4 linked regions of the Schizosaccharomyces pombe genome follow. The gene in region 1 interacts genetically with each later gene. Each region holds a gene or a part of one and is shown in the gene's direction. Other genes may lie near its edges.

Region 1 (7,627 bases):
AGGAATAAAAAAGAATAATAAACTTGGAATCTTTAAAAATTCTGCTCCGAGCACTTAGGCTTCCCTAACTTTAAAAATAATTCAGGATCATAACCAGTAGATGTTTACAGGCATAACCAACCCCAATTTAGAGATAAAAGGGCACTCTCATTAATTTTTTTATAGGAAATATTACTCCACTCATGTTGGAGAATATTCTTTACATATTCATATTCCAAGCGAACAGTCATTTTATAAGTCTTCAATACGGTTCGACTATCAGGCTCAAAGATTCGAGAATGACATTCCGAGATAAAGAGTTGACTAAAATGAAAAGCTAACGCTACGGGATACTCAAATTGCAAAGATTAGTTCGGTTTGAGTCTTTGCAATTATACTTCACAGACTCTTTGCCAATAAACTAATAGCACTAAGGTCATCAAGCAATATAGAAGAACTGTCAAAACATTTTGAGAAATGAATCTCTTTCGAACGAACATATTGCACGAATCAGCAGTGTCAGTCGTCTGAATATTTAGCGATACAACAACTTTGTCTGTTCAATCTCATGTGCCTGTATAGTCCCTTAAGCTTTTTTTTGTAGTAAAAAAAACTAAACTATTCTTTCTGTTTAATTCAGAAGCTCTCCAATGTCAAGAAACCCAATGCGCCTTTAAGTGTGAATAGCTACAGCAATCAGCAAGTCAAAGCAAAACGCATTCTTGTCTTTAAAAGAATTTATTTTAATCAATATAACAGTTGAGTTTGGGAATAATTCTAGAGAATGAAGATGTTGTTAGCAATCCTCTTTTCCTAAAACACCCTAACCTACTCCATTTCGTTGAAAAAATAAACCACTTCCCCAATTCTATGATTTTGGGATTTTTTTTGGGACTATATTAGAGAATTTCTTGTTTTATATATATCAACAGGAGCTCATTAACGTCAACACTTGAAAACAAAAAGTATTTGTCAATTATAATTATCACGAGGTTCATTATTGATTTTTCCCGAATAAGATTATCTCCAACCAAGAAAACGGAATCTTTGAATCTAAAAAAACACATTCTTTACGTTTCTTAACATTCCTCGGCATAAATTGTTCTCTTTTGAAAAAATCGTTAGCAAAAGAGTTGCTGAATCGCAAACAAGCTACGAAAATTGCATTATCTTAAAAGAAATTGTGTAAATAACAATTTATAAAGTATTTCGGGACTTTATGAGGCCGACACATTGGTCGAGTAATCAGTGCGAAGTGGATTTTACAGCTGAAGCTCTCACAACCCTTTCTTTGTCAAACCGGAATCATGAGGAAGATCCAATTCAACCTGTGTTAAAAAATTCCAATTTATTTCTCTTGAACAGAGACATATGGTCCTTGATCATTAATTATCTTGATGCATTCGATATATTACGCCTGATGCATTCAAGTAGGCAGTTTTACTATTGGCTTCGTAAATCAGCTGTCGATGAATGCTGTTTTAATAACAATTTTCTTAATTTACAACCTTATCAACGTACAGTTCCTGTTGCCAGTGATTTAGAATGGGCTACTGAAGTTGATCTCTACGGAAACCCACCAATTTTAAAACTCCAACTTCGCGATTCATTTGTCTGGTCAATGCTTGCCAAATTCCAGGGACTTCAGACCATTGCTTTAGACGGAACAGGTGTTACCATTTCTAGTGTAACGAATATCTTGCTGAACATTCCTACCGTTAAAACCTTGAGTATAAGATGGTGTGTTGGTGTTTGCTCTCTATCTCTCATTGAGTTTCTACAAAATTCTAAAAGCAGGACATTTTCATTGGAAAATCTATACGTCCTTGGTGTTAAAGGATTAGAATTACTAAAACCTGTTTTGCTTGATGGCTCTGAGGATGACACATTAACAAGCAATTGGCATAGTCGAGTAATTTTATTTCAAAATGCTTTAGACGCTTTACCAACTACTCATGGTAACCCAGTCGAATGCGATATTTCACGTTGCCCTTTGAATGCATGCAAAATTGCAGGTCAGGAAACTGAGCTTGCCGATCTTTTTTCTTTGCAAAAAGTCCCTGCTTGTATCTATTGCTTAAGGGAATGGAAGAAGCCGATTTGTCGTTATTGCATAGATTTAAGAAGTTGTTTGGTTTGCGATTCATTTGTCTGTCCTTCCTGCATATCGTTGGATTTTGATTTGCAAATACAAGCATTTGCTCGTCAACACCGTGTAATATCTACTTTAGGTGTTGTTTATCCTGAAAGAGAAGACTCTTGTTTCCATAAGATCAAGGCCGCCCAATGGCATCAGATCAGTCCTAGAAGTCTTTTGTTCCAATTCCAAGAGCAGAACCATATTCACCACAAAAAGATTCGCAGGAAGCTGTTAGCGGCTGGATGGAAATGGCCTCAATCACAGATATAGTAAGGGCAAGGCGACCTAGGTGAAAAAACTTTTTACTTTCACAACTCTTCTTTTTCTTTCATGACTAGTCTAATAATGATCTTATGCCATTCTTACTCAGAATTTTCGTTTTCATAACCATGCGAAACTCGTAAAATAATGATATACACTGAAGTAGCTAGCATTGCGTTAGAGGGTGATCTTTGTAGTAACATAACATTTTGAAATGTGCACACTAATGGTTGCTCTGCTGTTCGTCTTTTCTAGCTATTCTTATAACGAAGTAAAAATTTATTGATTAACGCTTAACAAACAGTTGGAAATTCGGTTTGGAATGCTCGTTTTTTAGTAACTGTGTTTATGTCTAAGCGCAATCCTCCTGTGACTAATATCGCGGACTTGGTGTCAGATTCTTCCTTAGATGAAGACTCGCTTTCTTTTCTCGAAGAGCTTCAGGATCCAGAATTATACTTCAAAAATGACACTTTCTCTTCCAAGAGTAGCCATTCTGATGGCACCGTTACTGGGGATACGTTGCGTAGGCAGTCAAGCGGTGCAACTGCTTTAGAGAGATTGGTCTCACATCCTCGTACTAAAAATTTTGATTTGCAAGGAAATGGAGGACAAAATTCTGCTTTGAAGGAAGTGAATACTCCAGCATATCAGTCAATGCACCATTTCGAGCATTTAATAACACCCTTGCCCTCTACTAATGCGTCTCACAGTGAAGTTTCACTCAGTGCAGGAGTGAATGATCTCAATTCTAATTCGGAGCATGATTTGTTACCTAAAAGTGTAAACAAAACCCCCGGTTCTTTATCAATTTCAAGACGACGAAGAATCGGCAGAATTGGATTAGGCCCTCCAAAGCGTGCTGAGTACACGTTGACGGATCCCTCGAAGACTTCCGATACCAAAAACTCTACAGAAGCAGATGAGGATATTGAAATGAAATCTCGAGAAGTATCACCAGCTTCCAACTCTGTTGCTGCAACAACTTTAAAACCTCTGCAGCTGCATAACACTCCTTTGCAAACATCCCAGGAGCATCCCAAACCTTCTTTTCATCCTTCTCAGTTTGAGAGCTCTTTTTCTCCTAGGGTGCAGTTTGATCACGATGTTGAAAGAAGAGCTAGTGAACTTCATTCTCGTCCAGTCACCGTTTTCCAAGAGCCTCAGCGTTCTGCTTCTCAACCATATGAATCTCATGCTCTTTCTCCAAAGGTGGCTCCGTTATTTGATAACAGTCAAGCTACTCCCATACCCAAGCGTCAGCAGGACGTTGTTACTGTTGCCAATCTACAATTTATCAAATTAGGAGTTGTTGGAAAGGGTGGAAGTAGTATGGTATATCGCATATTTTCCCCCGATAACAGTCGTTTATACGCTTTGAAAGAGGTGAACTTTATTAATGCAGACCAAACTACTATACAAGGATACAAGAACGAAATTGCATTATTAAGAAAGCTTTCAGGCAATGATCGCATAATTAAATTATATGCTGCCGAAGTTAATGATACTTTAGGGCAACTCAATATGGTGATGGAATGCGGAGAAACGGATTTAGCAAACCTTTTAATGAAAAACATGAAGAAACCCATTAATCTTAATTTCATCAGAATGTATTGGGAGCAAATGCTAGAGGCGGTCCAGGTAGTTCATGATCAAAATATAGTGCATTCGGATTTGAAGCCGGCCAATTTCCTGCTTGTAGAAGGGAATTTGAAGCTGATTGATTTTGGCATTGCCAAAGCAATTGGTAATGACACCACTAATATCCATCGTGATTCCCACATCGGTACTATTAATTATATGGCACCTGAAGCTTTGACAGACATGAATGCTCACACAAACTCTGGCGTGAAACTCGTAAAGTTGGGCAGGCCCAGCGACGTGTGGAGTTTGGGATGTATATTATATCAGATGGTGTATGGGAGGGCCCCGTTTGCTCATCTAAAAATGATCCAAGCTATAGCAGCTATCCCTAATGAACAATATCACATTCATTTCCCCGAAGTTGCCTTACCTGCTAATGCTGTCCAGGAGAAAGAGGGATCGTTGCCAGGTGTAACTGTCGGGCCTGATCTAATGGATGTTATGAAAAGATGCCTGGAAAGGGATCAACGGAAGAGACTTACAATACCGGAATTGCTGGTTCATCCCTTTTTAAACCCTTTGCCATCCTATTTGACACCTTTGGCCAAAAAGCCGTTACCTGTTTCTGGGCACACCAATAATGCTCATCCACTTAGACTCAGCACAGAAATCTCAGCTTCTCAATTATCAATGATTATAGAAAGGTCGGTGGAGTTGAGTAAGCACAAGCGATTAAATAAGGAACTTATTGATAGCATGGCTTATGATTGCGTTAGCAATTTACGAAAAATGCCAGAATAGAGGCACTAAATTTTCCGATTATTCTTAAAAAGGTTTTATCTTTTACAAAGTTTCCCAAACATCATACGAGTTTCTTAATGTTAACGACTTTTTTAGGGAGCTTAAAGGCTTTTTTTTTTTAATCTTTAATTTTTCGCTCTTTTAAAAGAAGGTAATTATGACCTTGATTAATGAACCACATATTATATGGCCCCTGATATCTATACTTTGATACTATGTAAATATAAAGAACGCTATACTCCCAAACGCTATAAGTTGTTTGTTTACGATATAATACCTTTTTGTGTTTGTTTTTTTTAGGTAAAGCAACCAAATGAATGATGCTTTTTTATAAGAAACTTTTTTAATATAATTGGGTTATATTAGACATTAAAAAAAAACCCCATAACTAATGTAAAACAAAAACCTTTAAAAATAATGTACCGCCGGTAGAGATGATTATTAACGCCATAAATGTTGGTGCAGGAAGGGAATAAAACAGGTTCAATGGAATATCGATAATCCTAAAAAAACTTGTGAAAAAATCTAAGTTAAATCTAATCACTATCCAAAAATTTATTGGCAGAAGCACCCAGATACAGGCGTAGAGTGTTAGGGGAGCAATTTACCAATTTGCAGCGAACCTTTTTGCGCCCTGCTTCATCGTGAGCACGTAGTCGATGACAGCCCCCAAAGGCAAAATAATAAGGCTTCCCACTCTTTTTAAACGTTAAAACATCAACAGGAGGAAGCTCACCAGCTTCCAAATCTTCTGAAGTCAAACCGCATGAAGCTGGAGGAGTTTTCCCTGTCATGGTTTCCATCATACTATTGACTTTGTTCATATCTAAAACAGGAGGTATAGGACGAATTAACTCAGACATATCAAGCTCAACAATGTTGTTATTTGAGCCAGTGTGAATCGAAGTCATGATGGTTAAAAATGAATGAAAGAAAGAATATAAAAAAGATAAAGTGAACAGAAATTTTTATAAATAGAACAGAAAATTATAAAAAAAGGCAAGTTAATAAGAATGGAAAAGTGGATATTGATATCGAGTATATTTACTCCTTGATCTGATATCGTTTCCTGTTGTACTAATGATCTGCCCCACAACCTATCTTATCCCGGTATGTATATAATAATTTACAAATATGACATCATTATCAAAGATGAATCGATACTTAAAATCTTATGTAAAAATTTGTCAGCATGTTAGCGAAACACGTTAAACCGACTAGGACAAAGCAACGTGGTTACGTTACGAGGTCTGGGTTTGTGTTCTTAGTAAGGTAGTTGGAGTAGCTTATTCATTAAATGTAGATGGCAATAAAACACTATTGCAAAGATGTCAAAGTGTAGAATGATGCTACCTAAATAGAATTTCAAGCACAAATACTTAGGTATAAATAACTTGGAGTCGACGGAGAACTGTAAATGCACGAGTACATTCAAAAATGTGTAAACAAAAGGTTCACTTTCTGAAAACGCTTTCTAAAATGTGACAGAGATAACCGACACAAGATCATTAAAACAATATGAGTATTGTTTTCGAATGGTGAAAGAAGCATTAGCTAGTTGAAGAGTGCAAATTTTGGTTAAGAAGAAATTCATTGGTAGAATGTAGGCTTGAACCGTTAGTCGTCAACAAAAGTGGAATTTTAAAGATTGCATCTGAAATCCTTAAATTTTAAGAAAATCCATCCTTAAGTCAGGATTAAGAAACCATAGTATATTATTTTGTTTGTATAAGTTCGGCTGCTATATTTGCTGAGGCCAAATTGATTCTTGGCCAACGTTTTATATCATAAGATTTGAAGGCAATGTAGCAAATTGAATATTAGATTATTTTAACACTTTAAAAATGTTAGGTAATGTAAGGAATAACATTTCAATTTAAAGAAGGACTGAGCGACAAATGAAAGGCTGTTCTTTTTTTTACAATTGTTGAGACAATTACAAGAACTATGGTACACATAAAAACTTTTAAAGAGTAGCAAGGTTTTAATACAATTCTTAAAGTTTTTTGAGCAAACAGATCACAATGATCCTTTCATATGTACATGCTTTAGAGAAGTAAGGTCAATACTTCAATCGGACTTCTCATCTACAATGAAAACGCGAATTTCATAATAAATACTAATCATCCATCCGTTCTCTCATATCCTTGGTATCCTTTATCCTTCCCATTAGTCAATCTCTAAAGCCATTAATCCTCATTTTTTTATAATGCCATCGCTCAATTCCCGCAAAACATCAAACCTTTTATGAACAGATACTATCATTTACTTACAATATGTTTTTAGCAACATAGCTTCCTATTAGCCTGATGTGAGATTAACTTCGATAAACTTTCAATATTAAAACTTGCATTCGATTTGAATCATCTTTACTGCCATAAAATAGAATTGCGATTTAGGATCAAGTTAGCACGACATCATGGTGTTTTCCAATATTCGCGACCTGTTCTCAACCACCACTCACCACTTCATTAATTCCAAGTTTTAGAATTCTTTAGCTTTTTGAAGTATTACTTGTGAATTCCTCAAGTGATAGTATTTATTGTTGAAATTGCTAAATATTTTTCAATTTCATCCTGCATTGTTTCCTTCTTCAAACATTATATCAGGGAGAAAATTGAAGTGTTTTTTTGCCTGGAAATCTAATCCAATTGCTACGAAAACGAATTATCATATCAAAAAGGTAGAATAACATTAAAAAATGAATCCTGAACGCTGGGCTGCCGATTTAGTCTCTAATGTTAAGGATTACGGCAAGCGAATCATTGACTATGCTCATGAAAAAACTAGTAACCCTCAACCTGTTACAGTTCATACTACAAACAGTGCCAAGGGAAGATTGGGAGAATTTCTTTATCAAAA
Region 2 (7,902 bases), on another chromosome or scaffold:
AGTTTGAAGCGAAGTGTTGTCAGAAGCAGTTTTAGATTTTTCTTCCTCATCTATTGGCTCAGTTGAACCAAAACCAAATAAATAATGAAATAACCAATTACGAGGTTGATGTTTCTGAGAAGATTTAAAAATATCATTTTTGTGTTGAACAATGACTTTTTTACCAAGACCAGATTGGGATTGGAAATGGGCATCAGCATGCACGGGAATAGACATTGAGGTTTCGGAGGAAGAGGCATCCGTCATTTCCAAGTCTTTATTGCTGTTTCTTAACGTTTTCGGAACATGCTCCTTCGCTTCTGCGGGGCTGTATATACATCCAACCATAAAAGAGTCATTTATCAACATTCCGTTAGACAAAACTGCTTTGGCAGCAGAAGAAGGCTCAGCATATGTTAATTGTAGCCAGTTACCAGATATGGGACCCTTGGAGGGAGTGAATCCGGCACTTGAAGCAGTTAATGAATTCTCGCTAATAATAGTTCCAAAACGAGAAAATTCAGCTATTACTTGATTTGTCAATTCTGGTGGGAAACCGAAAACGATAACGGAGGTATTTGAATCTTGAGGAGCGCCAGACATGGTAAAAGAAGGGTCGTATACCTTTTCAGAGACAGGAGAAAAAGGGGAAGAACTTTGTCCAACATTGAGAGCATTAATTTGCCTAGAGGAAGAAAAGTCATAAATGGATTGAGTAGGAGGAGCATCTTCAATTAAAGATCCGGTACCTAAACGATTTGTATGCAAAAACGGTTTCGGTGTACCAAAGCTGGGTCCGCCGAATTTTGAAGAAGGGGGACTCGAGAGAGATAAACGGAAGGAAGAGCTATTTAGAGAAAATTAGTAAAGGTTCTAAGAGTTTATGTCTAATATTTAAAAATTCATAGGGATTAGGCTGAAGCTCTAACAAATTTGGATATAGATAGATATTAGGTAAAAAAGCAATTATACTAAACAATTTTTTAATCCTCCGTCTTCAAATGTCCCTTAAACTCTTCAAAGAAATTACTTACGATGACTCATATGGTTCTGCTAAAGGCGAGCTAACCTCTGGGGCAAATCGACGCTGCTGACTTGATCCAAAGTGTGAAAGATGACTGGGAACAAATTTTTTTTCTTGTGGAATGTTAGAAACAGATGTTCGAAATCCACGATATTCTTTTTGAGGAGAGGGCGAACGTAAATCATCGACAGAAAGTGGCTTTAAGGTTGATCGATTCGTGATAGAACCACTTCCCCCAAAAGACATGTTTCCGGCAATATTACTAGAGTCTTGTGATAGACTGTTGTGTAACATATGTTTTGCAACGTATATAAATTAGCGGTAAGTTCATTTGAAGGAGATGGCTTGCATGGAATGAATCATGAAGCCTAGCGTAGATCACTAAAACCAATTAACGCAAAATAACAGTTTATTGTTAATGCTATTGATTTTTATAAAACATGCAGATAAATCTTTTGAAAGCCTCAAACTAATATTAATACGTTTAGCTATTCATTTTTTTAAAACTTGATTTAAAGGACTCTGTTAAATTCCAAGCTCATTTACAACAAACCTTATACAATCATGTCATAAAAGGCATTATAGATGATAAAAATTCTCCACAACTTTTTCTCATTGCTTATTGAATAGCGTATCTTTTTCTTACAGAAATTAAAATGCGACTGGATATATATTATAATCGTAGCAATAAGCACCTGAAGTAACAGTGTTACTCCTAACCATGGCAACATTGTTTACACTTGATGATTTAACGAGACACTGCAGAAGAACCAAACATAAACATCTTGGCTTGAAATTCATATACTTAGCACTCAATCACTCCAAGCAGTATTTTTTATATTATTAATTGATAGAAGAATTTTTCTTTTTCTTTAAAGGTCCTACCGAGAAATTTAGTTTTATTTTAAGCTTACCTGAATCTCATGGGCTACTTCTGTTCTGAAGTATGGAAAAATACAAGATTCTTGAGTGTATTGGACATGGGAGTTTTGGAAGGATTTATAAAGTAAGTTTTAATCTTATTTTCACTGAAATTGGTTATTGGATAGCAAAATTCTTTCTTGTTTTCAGTTTATTTGCGAGCAACTACTTGTGGTTGGCAAATGAATCTATAGCATTGAATCAATTGTTTTCTTAAGAAACAGGGAAACTATATTGATTTAAATGCTTTTCGCTATTGTTTGTACTCTATTCAAAACAGTTTTTCAAATTGAAACTTTGATCGATATTTTTTTTTGCAACTCCTTTTTTATGCATTATGCTAACTATTATAGGTTCAACGCTTAAAGGATGGTGCTGTAAGTTTGAAAGCAATTTATTTTTATAGTTATTAATACTTTTTAGCTTTTGGCTCAGAAGGAAATACACTTTGGTAACATTACTCGGCAGGAAAAGCAGTACATCGCAGATGAAGTGAATATTCTTCGTAATCTTAAGCATCCAAATATTGTTCAATACTGCGGAGAAGAATTGAATCGTTCTGCGCAGGTAATAAACCTTTATATGGAATATTGTGGTCATGGTGATTTAGCCAATCTTATTCAACGTTATAAAGAAGAGAAAAAGAGATTTACCGAGCAAGAGGTTCTCAAATTTTTTACGCAATTACTACTTGCTCTGTATCGCTGCCATTATGGAGAAAATGCGCCTGCTTGTGACTCACAGTGGCCAAGAGAAATTTTTCATCCTAAACAATCTGTATTGCATCGAGATATCAAACCTGCGAATATATTTCTTGATGAAAATAATTCAGTTAAGTTAGGAGACTTTGGTTTATCCAAATTGCTGGACAATACGCGTGTCTTCACACAGAGTTACGTGGGAACTCCATACTATATGTCTCCTGAAATAATTCGGAGCAGCCCTTACAGTGCGAAGTCTGATGTTTGGGCTCTTGGCTGTGTTATTTTTGAGATCTGCATGCTTACGCATCCCTTTGAAGGAAGGTCGTATTTGGAATTGCAACGTAATATTTGCCAGGGTAATCTCTCCTGTTGGGATCATCATTACAGCGACGATGTTTTCCTTCTAATCAGGCATTGCTTAGAAGTTAATTCAGACCTCAGACCTACTACTTACCAGCTACTTCGCTCTCCTATTTTATCCGATATTCGTAGTAAATTGGAATCCGAGAGAGTAGTCTTGGAACAAAGCGATTTGCTTCATAAAAAACATCAGATGCTTATTCAATTGGAAAATGATCTCCAATTTCGCGAGCAAAGGCTTTCTGCTCGGGAAAGTGAACTCGAAAACGTTATAGCTTCTCGCTTAGCCCAACGTGAAGAGATATTGCGACGTGAGTTGGAAAAGCAACTGCGTGACATGGATGCTCGTTATCAAAGACACATGCAAACCGTAGTAAACTCTATGCAGAAAATGCGTGTTACAAGTCCTGTGGATCATAATGAACAACCTGAAAGCAGTACCGCTGAGATGTTTGTAGATTGTACAATTGAAGCATCACAATCCCCCCTACTTCATATTCCTAAGTTAGGAATTAGCAAGCCCTTGCAAACGTTATCGTGTCCGGGTTTCACTCTAACTACACAACAACCGATATTGAAAAGACCTACTCTCCGTAAAGAATTATCAAGCAGAGCCTTACATACGACTGCAACATTAATGAAATACAGAGCTAATGCGTCATCTCTAAGGACTACACCTATTGATAAAGATGGCCAAATTACATCGTTACAGCAAAAAAACGGCACGTCGAATCAAGTGGCGGATTGCATGAACAAGTTGCTGCACACATCTTTGGACGGAAAGAAGCTAAGCCCTTCTGAATTGTGTAATAAATTTTCAGACGGTGAAGGTTTACCAAATCGAAAAGTTAGCAAACTTAGCGTAGAGAGCGATGAAACGGCAGTGAGTGCTTCAAGTGGTGAATCCGTCCCGACTGATTCAACGTTGACTGATACGAAGTCAAAGTCTGTTTTTGTCCACCCACCTTCTCCGCAGAGTCTTTATGTGGAGAAACTCGAAAAGTTGAATATTCGTTCGGACGAAGTGTCGAAACCTTCGAAAGCTTCAAAAACCTTACATGGCTATGCTTTACCATCACTAGCGTCACCTTATGATGTTCATGCTGAAGAGAAGATAGCAAGAGAAAATGAAATGGATGGCAATTTTAAGACGATGAAGATCAATCAACACCCCGACGAGTATGTGTTACGGACTCCGAAAAAGATACAACTGTTGGAAGGACAAAAGCGGTCGCCTGTAAAACAGCTGGGAAGACTTGGTTACAACAAGCTTCGACGATCAGCGATGGACAATGCAGGATTGGAACTACGAAAGGCGGCATCTACTTCGAACTATACTAGCTTACAGTCTCGAACACTACCCGGGTCTTGGAGAGATGATGAAGAAGAAATTCCAAGACCCTTTCTACGAAAAATGCTTGACGCCCGAATGATGAGGGCTTAAGTAAAGTTCCCTAAGGTGCATTTAATTGTACGAGAATTATATTAGCACAAATGCGTACTAAAAAAAAAATACAGCAAAAAATAAAGGCCCAAATGTAAATGAAATTATTGAAATGCGTACCGTGTTGAACTTCCCCTAATTATAAGGATTGGTTTTCTATTTATTCAAAGAAATGAAACACTGCTGGTCAGCGTTTATCACGAAGTTTATTACTAATAAAGGAATACAAACACGATATTTGCATCTACAAGTTCTCGAATATGAGATGCTAGTAAATTGAGCCTTTTAACAGTACACATTTAGATGATTAGGAAATTTTGAATAACAATATTTTTCCCCAAATTCGAATGAGCCGTATTGTAAATGGAATTTAATTTTATAATTTTTGAAATAATATTACACAGAAACAAAAATTCATGGATGTAGTAATTAGAGAGAACCAAAGAATTAGCTAAAACTACGAAACGCCAGCCTTGACAAGAGAGACTGTTTTTTTTTTGGTGTAAGGATAAGTTGCGTAGATAATAAATGGAGATATACGTAAATTCGTATATGAGTAGATATCTGGTATCTGGAGAGATGACTTATCAAAAAGAAGCCGATTATGGAAGCGGCATCAAAAATAGTCTAGAAAGAAAACAAAGTGGAAGTAATAGAAGTAAAAAAAATTTTTACAATTTCGGGTGGCAGAAAAAAGGATATTAATGGTATACGAAGTGACACAAATAGGATTCCAAATGAGGGATGAATCAATTAACCACTTGACGGATTGATAATAGCAATGATGAAAATAGCAGAATATAGTACAAACTAGTAATTGACAAACACATATAAATACTTAGTTGTAATGTAGAAGTATGAAAGTTAGTCATTCATTGTTATTTCATTTTATTTACATACTTTGACTTAAAAGAAGTGCCGACACATGTTACTACAATCTTAACCCATTCTTATCGCATAAAATGTTTGTTTTGTTTAAATTTCTTTGTTTTTGTTTTTTATTTTTAGAGCTATCGAAAGTATCAAATTTTCTTTATGCTGCCAACTAAGGCCATTGGATATTAAAGTTCTTTCTTTTCTTTGAGAGATAAGTCAAATCACCAACTTGCAACCCCCATCTTTTTGTATTATCAACTCTCTCCCTATATCTCTTTACTCAGCACAATATTACTTTACACAAACCCTTCTCCATTCATCCTTAACTCTCTCTGATCCTTTAGAGTGGGATGAGAAGAAGCTTCGCTAGCTAAAACATATCCTATTATGTAATGGACTCATTATGATGTCTCGGTGAAGCAATATTTCCTTTTTCCACTGTATGTCAATACTTTACGTGGTATGTGATGATTATGCACCGCTATATGATATTTGTGCACTCACTTTTGTCATCCCAAGAACGCGTAATTTCCCTTATCGTAATGCATGCCATTTAACCTAATTTACCCAACATCTTCTTCAGCCTGTGTACTCTGTTACCACCTCTGCTTCGGCTGCATGCATAACCCCCACCAAGTACCTAGAACCCTCCACTACAACCGGGAAGTCTAATGGGTAGTGGTAAAGAGAGGTAGGTGATTAGGTTAAAAGGAGGTCTTTTAAGATAACAACGTGGTAATAACGCTGCTGACTCTATTTCGTAGTAGTTGTGACTTACTAAGTTTTAAGGCCAAAAACTGTCAAAACAGCAGTTGTCTTGTGGTCCGACAAAGCGGAGCAAGAAAGACGGGAAGGGAGGAATTAAGTGCCTTGGACTCCTCGGTTCAAATCAAATAAAGTAGGCACTTTTAAAAAACGGGACCGTTCCATGTAGTGGTGGAAGAAGAGAGAGAACCTTGAAAAAAAGAAAAGATAAATAACATATAATATTTGTGTACAAAATGAAAAAGATGGATTAATTTCAAAGTTAAAGTGTAAGAGAAAAAAATAAAGAAAATTTGTTATTTATCTCAACCAAAAAAAAAAAAAAAAAAAGAAAAAGAAAAAAAAAGTATTAAAGGATTCCGTCAGGTTTGCACTTGTTGGAAAGCTAAAAAATGTTTACAGATCACCGGATTTGGGCTAATTGCGTGGAATCCGTGAGTGCTGCCAAAGAGTAGCAGATGGGATGAGATGAGATGTGATGCGAATGTGAATGTGAATGTGAAAAATTGTAAGCCAAATGCTGTTTCTCACGATAAAAACTAAAGAAAAGCATACATTGAAAATTAGAAAAGATAAAACAAGAAAAACAGATTTGGTGCTTATGCGCTGGTCGGTAAAACAGTTTTCCTTGGACTGATAACAAGAGGGATGGATAAATAAACACGCTCGCTGATAACTTGTAAAAAATAATCAAAATAAGAGTAAATAAAAATGATAAAATAAAAAACAACGATAACAAGGGACGAGTGGGTGAAAGGAAATTTTATGTTTGCGTTTTCGTTGAACCAGCGCAGTACAGAAATACAGAAAGAATTGGGAAGTACAATAACAGCTGGGATGTGGGATGTGGGATTTAATGGTAGGCAGGATAGGGTAAGCAATGCTGGGACAAAGAGAAAGAGGTGAGGGGGGTGAAAAAGTTTTGTGAAAGAAAGGATTGTTTATGCTACGGTTGGAGAAGAGAGGCGAGGGGAAGTGAGGATGGCTTGGATGTAGTAAGGATAATAGGAAATTAGAAATAAAAAAAAAAAAAAATTTGGATATGATACATAAATGGTAAAAAATAAATAATAAATTAATAATCATAAATTAAAGAAAGAAAAAAAAAAGTAAAGAAAGCAACGGTGAAAGTAGTTGAGGAAACTCAAAGAAAACAAAATAAACCATAAGAAGAGGAAAAGTGTTCAATCGTAATAAGAAAAAAAGAAATCAAAATATATTTAATGAAATTATAATAGCAATAAAATAAAGATTATACTAAATTCATGAATGATAATAAATAATAAACAGAAAAATTTAAAGGGCAAAAAAGTAAATTATAAAAATTAAATTAATTATAAGGTAAAATAATTTAAAAATTTTAAAGTACAATAATAAAAATTCGAAATATTTGTTTATTCAATAAACTAATGGAGAGATTTTCCATATTCAAAGTTTTGTTTCATTACTAATTTATAAAATGATACTTTTACTTTTGATTTATTTTATAAATTTTATTTTTTGCTTTTGATTTAATGTATTAATTTTATTTTACTTTTATTTTTTCACTCTTCAAATTCTTAACCATTCGCGTCTTTTCATCGCATCGCCCATCATATTTCCTGCCCAACAACTGTATTCATCAATAATATCGCTACTTTCATCCTACATCTTTGCCTTCGCAAGTTGCGCAAGCTTGCTCGCCATTTCGAGTGCTGATGGAATCAGCGATATCGATGGAGTTAGCGATGCCATCACAGAAATTGCAATTTTACACATCACAAAGTAAAACAATTAGCAATTCTTTCAAAATATCCATCCACTCCGCTTAAAGAAATCATTTCATCTTC
Region 3 (6,780 bases), on another chromosome or scaffold:
TTAGACATTTTATTTTTTGATTTGCATTTTGGAAAGGCTGCCATAGTCCAAGAATCGCTGTGCACTTCATTTGGTGCTGGAATGTCTGCTGCTTGTGTTGTCGATATGGGCGCTCAGAAAACATCCATCAGTTGTGTAGAAGAAGGGGTTGTCGTTCCCAACTCAAGGATAAAAATAAACTATGGAGGAGATGACATTACGCTTTTATTCATGAAATTACTCATGAGAAGTCATTTCCCGTATCAGGATATTGACTTAAAAACTCCGTATGATTGGTCTTTAGCCAATGCTTTAAAAATAAAATATTGTGGCCTAAGTGAAGCAACCTATAATGTTCAATTGAATAGCTTCTTTTCGCGAACACCTGATAAAGGGACTAGAAAATTTACATTTAAAAGCCTTGACGAAACAATGCTTGCACCTCTTGGATTCTTTCGCCCTGACATTTTTGAAAATGAAAATAAACTTCATGATCGGTATACTTTGTTTCCAGTGCCGGTCGATGTATATGACAACCAACCGAATAATCCCGAATCACTTGCCCAAACCACTTTATTGCAAATATCTACGCCGATATCCAACATCAAAGCTAATGGAAAAGATGATGAAGAGAAAAAAGAAGAAAGTGATTTGGTGACACCTTCGGTAAAATTCAAGCCTCCACGGGTAGTATATTGTGGCTCACTTGCTGCTCCAGAAATAAAGAATGAGAAACTGATATATCCTTTGGATGATGCAATCAACCAGAGTATATTTAGTGCATGTGATGGAAATTTAAGTGATGAGAAGGCAAAAAATCTTTACTCAAGCATTTTGATCGTCGGTGGAGCTGGTCAGTTCCCGGGCTTTGCTCATTTACTGGAAGAGCGTATCCATTCCAAGCGTGCCAACATCCCTACTATTTCGGTAATTCCTCCACCAAGAAGTATGGATGCTCAATTTGTTGCCTGGAAGGGTGCTTGTATATACAATCGCATTCGGATCGTATCGGAGCTGTGGATAAAAAACAGCGATTGGAAAATGTTAGGTAGCCGTGTCTTGCAATACAAGACATTGGGTTATTTTTGGACTGGCTAAACCATATGTTTATGCTTTCATATTCGTTACTAATTTTTTAATGCAACACCATATGTTTTTGCTATTTTTCATTATTTTTAGATGTTAATAAACCATGGTCTACAAAAACAGTACAGATGCCTCTAAGTTCATGTTTTTTGAAATTTTGAAGATACTTCATCAACTACTCATTCTTTTTGATATTTGAGTGCTCAAATAAGTTGAATTTATCATAATTTCCCTAAGTACGTATTTCTTTAAACGTACCATTTTGTATTTAAGTAATCTTTACATTCCAAAAATTGTAGTATCATTGTAAAAAAATTGAAAAAATAAACTCCCAAGGCGAGACTCGAACTCGCAACCTTCTGATTACCATCATAAGAGTCAGACGCTCTAAACCGATTGAGCCACTCGGGACTTCGTTGACGACTTAAGTTATTCAGTGTAATATGTAGTGCAAAAAGAATCCTCATAAGAATATATATTTTGTTGTTTGACGATGATTGCCTACGAAATTTAAAAGGTGGAATTGTTTTCTAGTTAAGATTGTTTATCAATCTTGAGAGACTCAGCATTGCTTTAGAAAACAAATCAGCATGCCAACCGTAACAGCCAAATATCTTGTTACTCGCAGCATTACTTAAAATGTTAATTTTATTTCTAACGGTAATATTTGTTCAATATTTTCGTATTTCGCATTAAGTAAATCACTAGGAAATTGAGATGCTTTTGAAATAATGATTATTACTGATAGTGATCTAAGCAAAATTAGGCGTCGTTAATCAACTTTTAGACAACGATTAATACAGTACTTCTATGCAATATTTTAATAAACGAACTCTATGTGATGCTAGCCATTCTGTACACCATGAAAAGCAAGCCAAACATGTCTCGCTAAACGAGCAAACAACCTGTAAAGACCAACGCGAAATTGATGTTTAGTACTTTTTAAAATATTCTGAAATCTCGTTTATTTTCATATTAAGACAAGTGAAAAATGAAGAAAGGAGGTGTTCGATCTTATCGGCGCTCCTCTACTTCAAAACGATCAGTTATTGACGACGATTCGGAACCAGAGTTACCAAGCATGACAAAGGAGGCTATTGCTTCTCATAAAGCAGACTCTGGGTCGTCGGACAATGAAGTTGAAAGCGATCATGAAAGTAAATCTTCGTCGAAGAAATTGAAAGAAAATGCCAAAGAAGAAGAAGGAGGAGAAGAAGAAGAAGAGGATGAATATGTTGTAGAAAAGGTTTTAAAACACCGTATGGCGAGAAAAGGTGGAGGCTATGAATACCTTTTGAAATGGGAAGGTTATGACGATCCCAGTGATAATACATGGAGTTCAGAAGCCGATTGTAGCGGTTGCAAACAGTTGATAGAAGCATATTGGAATGAACATGGAGGAAGACCAGAACCTTCTAAAAGAAAGAGGACTGCAAGACCTAAAAAGCCCGAAGCAAAGGAGCCTTCACCAAAGTCTCGTAAAACTGATGAAGATAAACACGACAAAGATTCCAATGAAAAGATTGAAGATGTGAATGAGAAAACTATTAAATTCGCCGATAAATCGCAAGAGGAATTTAATGAGAACGGCCCACCTTCTGGTCAGCCGAATGGTCACATTGAATCTGACAATGAGTCTAAATCTCCTTCACAAAAAGAATCGAATGAAAGTGAGGATATTCAAATAGCAGAGACCCCTAGCAATGTTACTCCGAAAAAGAAGCCTAGTCCGGAAGTTCCCAAACTTCCGGACAACAGAGAGCTGACGGTTAAACAAGTAGAAAACTATGATTCTTGGGAAGACTTGGTATCTAGCATCGATACAATTGAACGAAAAGATGATGGAACCTTGGAAATTTATCTGACTTGGAAGAACGGTGCAATATCTCATCATCCTAGTACTATCACCAATAAAAAATGTCCTCAGAAGATGCTTCAATTTTATGAAAGCCACTTAACGTTCCGTGAAAATGAATAATTTTTTTGTGTTCCTTTAAAAAATTCTTTTTCTTTTGTTTATAAATTAGATTTCGCTTTTTTCTGACGTTATTGCTTTTATCAAGTCCCGTGTCGTAGTATGAGTTCTTGTTCTCTTACTCGAAAAATGCATCTAACATTATACTTATACAAATTTTTGTTAGGCGCTTAACATCACATTCTAGTTTATGAACGCCTTTGTTTTCTTTCACATTGAATTGATTACGAGTGACTTGAGAAATGTAAAATACCTTTTGTCGTTATGGTTTGACATTCTAAATAACCTAAGGTTTGACATTCTAGATAACCTAATTTCTTTAATTTTACCATTTATTAATTTAGCATGCACTGCTCTTCATGCATTCAAAATCGTGTCTAATAATAACGTAATTTTACTCGTTAAATAAAGAATTTATGCATGCAAAATCGTTACTCATAAACCTCAGCAGATAAATTTGTTAACAAAAATGAGGGTGCATGAATATCTGCCTTCTCCGTTTCTTCTGTTCCATATGCTTCTAAGTTTGGGTTACCAACTGAACTCAAAGATAGGGTCAAGATGTAGTGTATCAAGTTTGAATCTTTATCAAGTACTATGTTGCCTCTTGAGAAATTCGTTTGAGAATAGCTGTATAGCTAAAGATAAATAAGGGTTTGAATGTAATTGTTGCTATGTAAACACAGTTGTAATTATAGATTTTTAATTGTTGCTGCTTTTGTACATTAGCAAAAAAAAATACAAGCAAGTTATGATGAAGAAGTCTGGTTATGCTATTTTTCTAAGAAGCTGGGATAAATTCATATTTTGTTCCTCTTTTTTTTTTTTTTTAAATATGTTTATGTCAGATTGGCAGATTTACCATATAAACACATAATGGCAAATTATGGCAAACTTTGCAAATGAACATGTATTTATCGAATTTCCTTGTTATCTTTTTTTATTGCTAGCAACACATGAAGACATCAGTCCCCTCTCGGCAATACATATTATCGATTGACACTACTGTATGCTGAGACTGAACAACAGAGTTCTCACTTGGACTTTTTGCTTGCTCCTCAAAGACTTTTAAAAAATTAAATAATAACTATTATATTTCTAACTGTTTTTAATCTAATTATTAGTCACAAGTTGCGCTTTTGTTATATATATGACTTCTATTCAAATTGTGTATACCTCTTTGAACTGCAACGTACTGTGGCTAATTATAATAATATTTAATGCTAAATGTTTTTAACGATGTTGATTGATAAAAAACCGCGTAATCATCAGAAAAGGAAGGATGCTTTTCTTTGCTATTCAAAACAAAGGGACGTAATTGTGCACTGTAACATTGCAATACGGTAGATTGTTCATTGACCCAAAATCACTAGACTTAACCAGTTTTATAATTTGCCTAGTAATCCTTGAAGTGTAATGATAAATTCAAAAAGCAAAAAGAAGGAATCAAATGCCCTCGTTTTAAAGTCGCTTTTGCGGGAACCTTACAACAAAGTTTGCGCGGATTGTAAGCGCAATGAACAACCACGATGGGCAAGTTGGAACTTGGGTGTTTTCATTTGTATCAGGTAAGTAATAGCTGCTTAAAATTGAAATCATTAACACTTGTTAGATGCTCAGGAGTGCATCGAAGTCTTGGAGTTCATGTTAGTCGTGGTATGATTACCTAGGATACAAAATTTAATGTTAAAAAACTCAGAATCAGAAATTAACAGACAAAACTAGTAAAATCTGTTGATTTGGATTCATGGACAGATGAACAAACTGAAAATATGACAAGATGGGGAAATGAACGTGCTAATTTGTAAGTTTGTCTACTTTTCAAAAAAACTTTGCGCTCACGTCCTAAAATATAAAAACTAACAACTTTAATAGGTATTGGGAAGCCAAACTTGCGGGTGGTCACGTTCCCTCTGATAGGTAGGTTTTTATTGATAATCCTTAGCATAGCTGGCATTGAATGTTATCTTTCTAGGCTACATACCCTTTACACGTTGCTAGCAAATTGGAAGCTTCTTTTTTGTTTTTTTTACTGCATATTTTCTGACCTAGATTTAGTAAAATTGCGACTTTTATAAAGACGAAATACGAATTTAAAAAATGGGTACTCTACCCTGAAATTCCTTCTCCGGAAACGCTAAAACCGGAACAGAATACCAGACCTGTTTCAGAAGTCAACGCCTCTTTAGATCTTAATACTGCTTCTCGATCTTCCAGTGCTCACTCAGTTAAAAGCACTTCTTCTGCTACAGTTACCAACGTTACTTCCAAGAAAGAAGCTATATCAGCTACCACTTCTTTAGCCCAGTCGTCTCCTAATTTAGCTTCTTTATCCAAGCAACCTTCTACTGTGCATGCTCCTTCGACTAGACAACGAGATTTAAAGTCTTCAATTCTCTCCTTATATGCATCTCCACGACCACAAGTAAGTTCTTCAAGCATAACCACCAATGCAACATACCAAAATCTACCGTCCCCAGTTTCAACTAGTACTACGTCTAGCCAACCTTATGGTGCTTTTCATCAACCGGCTACGACAGGATCCTCCTTTGTGGCAGATAAGTGGAAGATGCCTATGTTCACTTCTAATGTGACCAGTGCACAACCATCTGCTAGAGCATCACCCGTTCAATCCAATTCTTCTCGGCCGCGATCTTCTTTAGACAGTAAGATTATTAATTCTCATGATGTTTGGAAATAGCCTTTAGTGACGCTTATACAAATTAACAGAGGTTTTTACTACTTATTTTGAAATATTTCATTAATTTAGCTATTTAAGTTCATCAATCGATGTCGGCATTTATGGATTCCTATATTCAACCTTCATTATAATACATTTTCTACTTTTCAGTAAATATAAATGACATAAATGTATTTATTAGGTCTATTATCGCTGAAAGTTTATTAAGTATTAAAAGCTAGCACACATTGTATGTATTCCGTAAAAAGATGCCTACGATATTTGGGAAAATTGCCTTGATCAATTTCAACTTTCCCAGAAATTTGAAAGATTTGATTTACATGAAACAAACCAGTGGAATAAAGAATGTCCCTCAATCTATTAATGTTAGTTGTACAACAAATGTTAGATTTGCTATACGCCCGTAAAGAAGTTAACACTGAAAGGAGCGGAGTAGCGAATTTTGAGACATGGAAATAATATGGACGAATGTAGAAAAGAAAAAAGAAAAAAGAAAAAACAAGAAAAAAAACAGGATCAACTATATTAACCCTTGACCTCCTGAGGTTTTAAGCAAACAAGTTTACATATGCTTGTTGTTCATTCAACATAATAAAAGAAGGTAAAAACTAAATTTCTTCTTTCACGTTACAATTCCAACCATTGTTTTGCTCTGACAACATAGACAAACTAGCTCCCAAACACCATCCAAGTTCCTTGTTGTCAATTTTCTTAGCAGTATGGAGCTGTCGGTTATTGGGGATTTCATACCCAACCGAAAGTAAAGAAATCATATAATTCAAATCTAAACACCACTCTGGCTCTTCTTTCAACTCTTTAAGGGCGTCAGTTAAAGAAAAGGCGTCCTGCCAGTATGTTGGTCCACTACAAACACTATTTGCCAAATATTTCATATCTTCAATGGTAAAAGTGCTTGGCATGCCTAAACTGATCATACGATCGTAAAAATAACTGATTAAATAAATGGGAGAATCAGTAAACGTCTCAGTGAACTTGGGTTGATGAACACCATTGAAAGAACAAGGACGGACTGGGCAAT
Region 4 (8,955 bases), on another chromosome or scaffold:
GACTTATGAGAAATTTAAGTCAACTCAAAGTACAATCTATTCATATTTTATTTTTAAGATCAGGAGAATCTGATTGCTAAAGATACAATTTAATTAGCTCTTCGCTTACCCCACTCTTCGAATCAATGATCCCTAAATCGGTAATGAGACCTGAGACAAATTCGGGTGGTGTAACATCCAAAGTAGGATTATTTCGAATTTGTTCTTCATTCATGATCAGCTCGTTATGAATAGCATCTGATGGAGTTGGAATTGGTTCAGGTTCAGGATGAACAGTTTCAGGAGATGGATCATCAAATTCCAGAATAGGACGACTAAAGGGAATATCATATTGAGAAAGGGGAAACATACGCACGAATTTATGACTAAAAAACGTTAGTACAAATTTTAAAATTAACAGGGAAATGGAGAGATCATAGGGAAAAATAATTGTAAGCTGAATGGATTCAACGTTTACGTACCTTTCTGCAACTGCGTAAAAGGGCTTATGTGCATGTTTGGCAAAAACGGCAAGTTGGAAAGTACCGATTTGATTAATGAGTCCTCCGTTTTCGACAACACCTTCTGCGCCAACCAAGACCAAATCTACACGGTTCATAGTAAAGCTTACAGCGGAATCCAAAACCATGCAAGTAGGAATACAAGCATTTTTTAATGTTCTCGTCATTAGACAGCCTGAGCCGCTAGGTCTTGATTCTGTGACAAAAACTTTGAAACGAACGTGACGCTTGGCAGCAGCCAAAAGAACAGCCGCAACACCGCGTGAAAACCCATGGGTAAGAATAACACTACCATCTCGAATAAGAGGGTAACCTAAATGTGCAATTCTTTGTCGACAAGCACGAGCACGCTGAATAAAGAGTTTTCCATTTTCTACCAAGTGACGTTTGCATTGCTCAAAATCCTAAAGCCGTGGAGAATTAGTAAAGAAAAGAAAACTACTTTGCATCAACACATACCCCGACATCGTGTAGTGATCGAGTGACAAACCGTTGGAAAATGTCACAACCAGCTGAAAGCGAAATGTTGTTTTGAACGCCTTCCTTCAGCGTATTTGAGCCATTTTGTAAAATGTCCATAAATTCTGAAATTGTCTTGGCTAATAGAAAAACATCAGTAAATTCATTTCTCACATGAGTACTACAAATTAACATACCTTGAGAGCGCGACAAAAGCTGGACTAAAGCCTCAATGGCGGCTACAGGCATCGTGATTTCTGGATCATCTTGCAAAAATTTTTTGTAAACCTGGACGATGTCAAATTCTCCTTGAGAATGTCGAACGATTCCCGAAGAATCCGATTCCACCATATTCGCAGATGCTAGACGCTCTTGCTTAGTAGCAACATCTTTTCCATACTTTAAGGATATCCAACAAAATCAAATAACGGGCAATGCCTTTTTGTATTAAATTGTAAGCTACGCAATTTGGTATCTGATTTAAGGATACGTAGAACTGCGGTGAGTTTTCCTTGTGATCTATTATATTACAATACACAGGTTGTATAAGTAGCAACTGAGTATAGGTATTGTATTAACTGAGTTATAATGTTACCTATCACTAATATAGCTCATAACTGAACTGAGGAACGAGGTTCAGCAGTAGCTCTATTTATATTATTCAGATAATATAGATCTTAATAGATTATCATTAAGATCAATCTCAATATCGTATCATACATGGTACGATATATAATTAGAACATGTGACATATAGTGATACGCAACGTAGATGATGCGATGTCGAGATTGATATTGATAATACTATATTAACAGATAGATTATTTGGATAGAATCGATAGAGATACAACTAAACCTCATTTCGCAGTTCAGTTATAAGTGATAGGTGACATTATAACCTAAATAGTACAATACCAGTACTTAGTCATTACTTATATAACCCGGCTATTATAATATAATGGATCATATGCAAAATTCACCAGTTTTTCGTATCGTTAAAGCAGATACCAAACTGCGTAGCTGACATTATACGGCGTTTTGGATACTGATCTACAGATATGTTCCTATAGATATTTATGTAGGTGATTTGAATGGTATTTACATATAAATTGGTTTATTAAATAGCTTATATTTAATTAAAGCTAAATATTGAGAATAATTTTAATATCATATTCTTGACTGAGTACATCTGAGGATAATCATGAAATTCTTCCTCGGTGATCAGTAAACAATGCTTGACTGTTGATTTCCAATATGTAACGTTCAACGATACTTATCATTGTATAGATAGTGAATTTGTAGTATAATTTACTATGTTCCTAATAGTTGAGCGTATCATGAACGAAATATGTCAAAACGCTTCCATTTTAAAAAAAAAGGAGTACTGATGAAAGCAGTAATTGGATTTGGTAAAAAGTAATATAGAAAGTTTTTTAAAAAACTATTTTATGTTTAAGAGACCTTTCAAAAGTTCATGACCATTTCTACGAGAAACTAATCTTTAGTCCAACCTTCGTAAATCTCGCTTATATTAAGCTTGATTTTACTTCGGTATTTATGGATGACGCGAACACTAAACTGGTATAGAAAAAACGCTATTACTTTCAGCATCTAAAGAAAATCATTTATGATAATTTCTATGCTTTCAATTATATCTAAATATTTACATGCTCAATCATTCAAAGCGATGCTACAAAAATATTATGTTTTAGTTGTCGACTCGAATTTCAGTAAAATCCTAACTTTATTGCTAGACATCCGTAGGTTTTCATTTATGCTATAAATCTGTGAATCACCTCGTGATCGGCAAGTTGTTAAAATAATCTTTTAAGTAACTCTAATACCATGCACTATAGTAAAGAAGGTATATATTTCTTTGCGTGCCTAGTTCTTGTTTTCAATAGCAATAGTCGTTATCTCCCATAGCTTTTAATTCTGCTCATCGATGAGAGTAACATATTCCAATATCTTCTCTACATTATCAAATCGTTTTGCAATTATAAAAATATCAATAGCTTTCGATTTCCCCCAATATGGCTAATGCTAAAATTTATAACATTGATGTAGAATTTGGCTTAGTTAAGATGCAAGTTGAAAATGTCTTATGTTTTATGATTATCAGAAAATGTTTTGTGTAGTATCTGATATTAAAAAATGCATATCAACTTTTACAATAAATTCGCTTGCGCAAAATGTATAGAGACTGCATATCTCGTTTCTTCTCCCTGCGGAGTGCCTGTAACTGGCGTCTTGCACTTTCATTCAAAATCGAAATTTTTTGGTAAGGATTTGATAGAGATTGTCACTTGGTAGCATATTTTTTCTATCTTGAATTCCTTTTTCTAGGCTTTTGTGGCTCTTGGCCGTCCACTCTTTATTTTTGTATTCAACTGTTTTTTAATCACATAAGTCTAGTCATAATCTTTTGAACCAACTCAAAGCTTCTTTTTTTTATTTTTTTCTTTGTTAAAAAAAGTCTTTATTCCTTTTATTATATCAGTTTATGGATTTCATCGTGTATGGCTTTATGTGTTCATTCCTTCTGGGCAACGGCGGTAGACACAGCGACTTCATGTCATTTTATATCATCTGAAAACTGCTTAGTTTTATTACAAGCCTTAAAAATTAATATTTATCTCTGTAGTGAGGTTCATGGCTTACAATTCTTTACCTCTATCCCTTTATTTTCTACGGTGAAACATATACGCCCATATCGCCCTCCAGGATTAGATAGAGACTATTTATTTGTAGTTCTCAATGATGATACTTATTTTTCGATTTATTGGGACGAGGATTATCAAAAAGTGATCGTCGACCATCCTCCAGTTCGCTATCGAGTTACATTTCCTTGGAATCGCAACGCGAAAAGCTACTGCCTTGTCGACTTAAGGATGCGTGCTATTTTTTTAAGCATTGACGAAATTTCCATGATATGTATTAGAATCCTTTCTGCCGAAGAACGGTTGAAAACTGGCCGTTCTATAGATAGCGGATTTCCTTTTTCTTTTCCAGTGCATCTCATATATGATATGTGCATTCTCAATGATTCCAGTACCCCAACTCTTGTGGTCCTTCACAGCGATGGCTTAGATTGTTATGTAACAGCTTTTCTTTTAGATTTAAGCTCAAAAAGTTTGGGAAAGGGGATTAGACTATTTGAGCGGGTTAAACCGTCAATGATCATGCCCTTTGGAAAAAGAGGTTTGCTGGTTTTTGAGAGTTTGTTTATTCATTGCATGTATCGCGGTAATTTTGTTACAATCAATGGTCCTTGTACTACTTATATGCATTGGACTCCTTTGAAAGGGCAAAAGATGCATTATATTGTTTGTGATACTAATGGATATCTTTTCGGAGTATATTCGAGTATCTTGGGAAAAAACAAATGGAGCTTGGTTATGGAAAGACTACCAATCCCACCTTTCGACTTTATTACTTCTCTAAATTCCATCCATGAGGGACTCTTGTTTATCGGAAGCAAAAATTCGGAATCTAAACTTATTAACCTGTCTACTTTGAAGGATGTTGACTCAATACCCAACTTAGGACCCATTCATGATTTACTAGTACTCAAAAACGACATTGAAAAAAGTTTCCTTGTATGCGCAGGAACACCAAGAAACGCTTCTTTAATTTATTTTCAACATGCTCTGAAATTAGATATTTTAGGGCAGACGAAAATCTCGGGCATCCTTCGAGCTATGGTCCTACCATCATATCCAGAGCATAAGCTCTTCCTCGGGTTTCCTAGTGAAACTGTTGCTTTTAATATCAAAGAAGATTTCCAGTTAGAGCTAGACCCATCTCTATCAACCAAAGAAAGGACGATTGCGCTTTCAGGGACGAATGGTGAGTTTGTACAAGTCACATCTACTTTTCTTTGTATCTACGATTCTGCAAAGCGCTCTCGTTTAGTTTATATTGAAAAAATCACGAACGCTGCTTGCTATCAAGAATACTCCGCAATCGTTATCAATGGAACAGCATTGGCAATATTTAAAAAAGATACAGAAGTTGCACGAAAAGTTTTTGAAAGTGAAATTTCTTGCCTTGATTTTTCAGCGCAATTTCAAATAGGAGTTGGATTTTGGTCTAAGCAGGTGATGATACTTACATTCTCAGATAATTCGTCAATTAGCTGCGCCTTTCAAACCAACGTTCCATCATTGCCCAGAAATATTATTTTAGAAGGAGTTGGTGTTGACAGAAATCTTCTTTTAGTTTCTAGCGGAAGTGGTGAATTTAAATCTTATGTACTTTTCAAAAATAATCTGGTATTCTCTGAAACAAAACATTTCGGTACAACCCCTGTATCGTTTAGGAGATTTACGATGAATATTGGTACCTATATCATATGCAACAATGACTGTCCACACATGGTATATGGGTTTAATGGAGCACTATGTTATATGCCGCTTAGTATGCCTCAAAGTTATGATGTGTGTCAGTTTCGTGATAACTCAGGGAAGGATTTTCTCATTTCTGTATCATTAGGGGGCTTGAAATTCCTTCAACTTAATCCATTGCCAGAATTGACCCCAAGAAAAGTACTTTTGGAGCATGTTCCGTTACAAGCCATTATTTTTCAAAATAAACTGTTGCTTAGAACACTCGAGAATAGATATGAAGATTACGAAAGTTACAAGGAAAATTATCACTTGGAGTTGGTCGATAGTTATGATGATAATTCGTTCAGGGTTTTTTCTTTTACCGAAAATGAACGTTGTGAGAAAGTTTTGAAGATTAATGAGAGTTCTTTACTTGTAGGAACAAGCATTATAGAACAAGATAAGTTGGTGCCGGTAAATGGAAGATTAATTTTGTTAGAGTTTGAAAAGGAGCTTCAGTCTTTGAAGGTAGTTTCGTCTATGGTACTATCTGCGGCCGTGATAGATCTGGGGGTATATAATGATCGATACATCGTTGCATTTGGGCAACAAGTTGCAATCGTTAAACTTACCGAGGAAAGGCTTATGATAGATTCTAGGATATCACTAGGTTCTATAGTTTTACAACTCATCGTAGAGGGTAACGAGATTGCTATAGCGGACAGTATTGGACGTTTTACGATTATGTACTTCGATGGCCAAAAGTTTATTGTCGTTGCCAGATACCTTTTTGGAGAAAACATTGTGAAAGCAGCATTATATGAAGGAACAGTTTATATAATAGCAACTAATAGTGGCTTGCTAAAACTTCTTCGTTATAACAAAGATGCAAAAAACTTTAATGACAGATTCATTTGTGAAAGTGTGTACCATCTGCATGATAAAGTTAGCAAATTTCAAAATTTCCCAATAACAAATACCAATTCGTTTTTAGAGCCAAAAATGCTTTTTGCAACGGAAATTGGTGCTATTGGGAGTATAGTATCATTAAAAGATAAGGAGCTAGAACTGGAGGAACTTACAAGAAAAATTCGAAAATTAAAATTTTCATACTTGTCATCTATGGACTACGAAAGTATAGAAGCAGACCTCATTTCTCCAGTCCCGTTTATTGATGGAGACTTGGTTATCGATGTCAAAAGATGGGCATCTTCAGAACTTTTCCGATTATGCAGAAGTGTAGAACATAGGGAATCACTCAATTCTTACCAAAAAGTTCAAGCCCTCCTTGAGGAAATACAAAGTTTATGTTAAACGTATTATTGCCTTTTTGCTCTGAGTTATTATCTTACACTTTATGGATCATTGCAAATTTGGAAGTTTGGTTCTAGGACTGTATTATGCATTTGTGAGTAATACAAAAAAAATCTTTTGATTTATAATTATAAGTCACAAGCTGTCGCAACATGGCACTGATAAATACAAGTACATAAAGCTTGGTTAAAAAGTTATCAGTCTCAATTTCTTTCGTAAAATCTTCTTCGAAATTCAAGATATTTGTCATAATTGTTGCATCGCTCATCTATCTAAGACGAGATGACATATATTCTGGATTTCAATAATTAAAATGAAACTATTAAATTTCATATGACAGAAACTGAGCACTTCAACTGGCATAAAAGCTCAAAGGAATTTTTTAAGCTAAAAAATTAAAAAAAAACTTTCTCCATTTGGCGATCACGTGTTGCCAAGTATTTTTGGAGTGTAATTAAACTGGAGAAACTCTAGTGTAATTTCTCTATAGGAAGCTAGGGTCAGAGGAAATTAGGATCTTAAAAATTGTTAGTAGAATAAAACATGAACTAAATGCTTACCTTTGGCAAGCCACTTTTTGATTTGATCTTCAGTTTATGGTCTTTACAGGGGATGGTTTTCTGAGTAAGAATATCTGTAAAACTTGAAGGCACTTCTTTCCAGTGTTCTTTCAAATCTATTTCAACTTTAAACGACGAGGTAGAGCCTTCATTGCTTATGGCTATAATGACTCCTGGACGAGTAAATACATAAACTGAATCGTCAATGTATAGTTGAAAAGATAGCACGTATGTAAACTCTGGGTAGGTCTCAACCAAATTTTGACGCGTGCGTATCATTGAAGAAAGATGTCTAAACATTGGATTGGAAGTATTGTATTTACTTTTCCAAAGACCTTCTCTGTTGTCAGGATCGCTACCACCGTCAAACATCTGTTCTTGTCCATAATAGATAATTGGAATACCGTCCATGAAAATAAGTGCAGTTAATGCGTTAAGAGCCAGCTAAATAAATGTTAAAATATATAAAAAATGCAGGTACTAAATTGAAATATTGTTCAATAGACTTACGGCGATGTCTTTGGTTTCATGAAAAAAGCGAGGAAAATCATGATTTTCCAAAAAGTTACACAAGACGGTAACATCTTTGAAGTAATGTCGAACATCAAGTACGGCCTTATCATAAAATGAAAACATAGAATGTTTGGGGTCAAGAAAGGTTTCCCGCAATTGAAAAAATAAAGGGAAATTTAAAGTCGAAGGGAGATATTTTTGATAATCCCCGACGACTTTAGGATCTCCATGAAAAACTTCTCCTGTAGTAAATACATTAGCTGCTTCAATAAATGTTGGGAAGAAGGATTTTTCGACATGTTTGGCTGTGTCCAATCTGATACCATCAAATTGATAACGTTTAATTAGATCAGAAACCCAATTTTGAAAAAATTTGCGAACTTCATTCTTTTCGGTTCGAATGTCTGGTAGGTTCACATGTGAATCTCCTAACCAACCTGTAATTGTCTCATGGGGATCATCGTAATTTTGTACAAACTGCCAGTTGTGATAATACTTCCCAGAGTTAAATGGTTGATAAAGTAAGAAGTTTACGGGTTTGCTTCCGGCATGACCCATATGGTTGACAACTATGTCAACCATGCAAAGCATATTTTTCTCATGAATTGCATTGACTAGTTCTTTCAAATCTTCTTCTGTCCCAAAATTCTCGTTTAACTGAGTCATATCTTGTGCCCAATACCCATGATATGCCTGACCACAATCCGTAGTCTCAGATATGTTTTTAACTATTGGGCTAATCCATATTGCCGTACATCCCAGACTTTTAATGTAATCAAGGTTACGAGTAATACCCTTCCATGTACCCCCAAGGTAAAGATTTCCGCTAGCTTTTGCATAAAAATTATCCTCATCCAAAGCAAATCTGTCCGTTAATACCTGGTATATAACTTGCTTTCGCCATAATTTAAGGTAGGAAGGTTCTTTTTTCGGCAGAATGGAGCAGATTAGATTCATAGTCCCTTTTCGTCAAGTAAACAACATTCACTGGTAACTGTCTCGTTTACAATGCAGCTTTAAATCAAGCCTTCAGCTACGCCTTCGTCTGGATCGCTTCTTCAGCCTTGCTTACTGATCAACAAAGAGTCTTCTTCTCGAAATCTTCCCTTTCAGTACAAATTTAAAAAAGTATCCGAGATTCGTACAGAATTTGTTTTACTTTTCAAAAAGGGACGTTTGCTAAAACCGACACTCTCACTTAAAGGTTATAGTCTTTTGGCTGCTTTTATTAAGAGCCAAAAATATAGTAAGAATATTGAAATACAGAGGGTCTTAAATACTC

Evidence for each region.
Region 2: mutations in mph1 (region 1) and fin1 together harm fitness more than expected from each alone (negative genetic interaction), as found in Schizosaccharomyces pombe (4 studies listed by BioGRID, with this or other methods).
Region 3: mutations in mph1 (region 1) and swi6 together harm fitness more than expected from each alone (negative genetic interaction), as found in Schizosaccharomyces pombe (3 studies listed by BioGRID, with this or other methods).
Region 4: mutations in mph1 (region 1) and rik1 together harm fitness more than expected from each alone (negative genetic interaction), as found in Schizosaccharomyces pombe (3 studies listed by BioGRID, with this or other methods).

The regions. Positions count from the first base shown.
Region 1 is NC_003423.3:371,161-378,787, forward strand, and holds mph1 (dual-specificity protein kinase Mph1), read left to right. Parts: upstream 1-2,633; 5' UTR 2,634-2,728; coding exon 2,729-4,765; 3' UTR 4,766-5,132; downstream 5,133-7,627. Other genes in the region: F-box protein Pof13, read left to right, coding at 1,199-2,389; srx1 (sulfiredoxin), read right to left, coding at 5,302-5,676; SPOM_SPBC106.03 (steroid dehydrogenase), read left to right, coding at 7,467-7,627. UniProt on the Schizosaccharomyces pombe protein: Involved in mitotic spindle assembly checkpoint signaling, a process that delays anaphase until chromosomes are bioriented on the spindle, and in the repair of incorrect mitotic kinetochore-spindle microtubule attachments.
Region 2 is NC_003424.3:1,352,411-1,360,312, forward strand, and holds fin1 (NIMA-like serine/threonine protein kinase Fin1), read left to right. Parts: upstream 1-1,810; 5' UTR 1,811-1,949; coding exon 1,950-2,009; intron 2,010-2,277; coding exon 2,278-2,301; intron 2,302-2,347; coding exon 2,348-4,432; 3' UTR 4,433-4,774; downstream 4,775-7,902. Other genes in the region: nucleoporin Nup40, read right to left, coding at 1-826, 1,014-1,249. UniProt on the Schizosaccharomyces pombe protein: Promotes chromosome condensation and nuclear envelope dynamics during mitosis. Activity appears at metaphase-anaphase transition.
Region 3 is NC_003424.3:1,699,278-1,706,057, reverse strand, and holds swi6 (heterochromatin (HP1) family chromodomain protein Swi6), read left to right. Parts: upstream 1-1,959; 5' UTR 1,960-2,056; coding exon 2,057-3,043; 3' UTR 3,044-3,652; downstream 3,653-6,780. Other genes in the region: Ino80 complex actin-like protein Arp8, read left to right, coding at 1-1,077; SPOM_SPAC824.09C (GTPase-activating protein), read left to right, coding at 4,457-4,608, 4,653-4,696, 4,766-4,844, 4,916-4,960, 5,099-5,741; Golgi nucleoside-diphosphatase Gda1, read right to left, coding at 6,350-6,780.
Region 4 is NC_003421.2:1,464,697-1,473,651, forward strand, and holds rik1 (CLRC ubiquitin ligase complex WD repeat protein Rik1), read left to right. Parts: upstream 1-3,185; 5' UTR 3,186-3,477; coding exon 3,478-6,600; 3' UTR 6,601-7,084; coding exon of another isoform or gene 7,085-7,117; 3' UTR 7,118-7,160; downstream 7,161-8,955. Other genes in the region: translation initiation factor eIF2B alpha subunit Gcn3, read right to left, coding at 77-365, 462-904, 960-1,099, 1,157-1,310; SPOM_SPCC11E10.09C (alpha-amylase-like protein), read right to left, coding at 7,085-7,117, 7,161-7,604, 7,671-8,630. UniProt on the Schizosaccharomyces pombe protein: Component of the Clr4 methyltransferase complex (ClrC) which contributes to the establishment of heterochromatin by specifically methylating histone H3 to form H3K9me.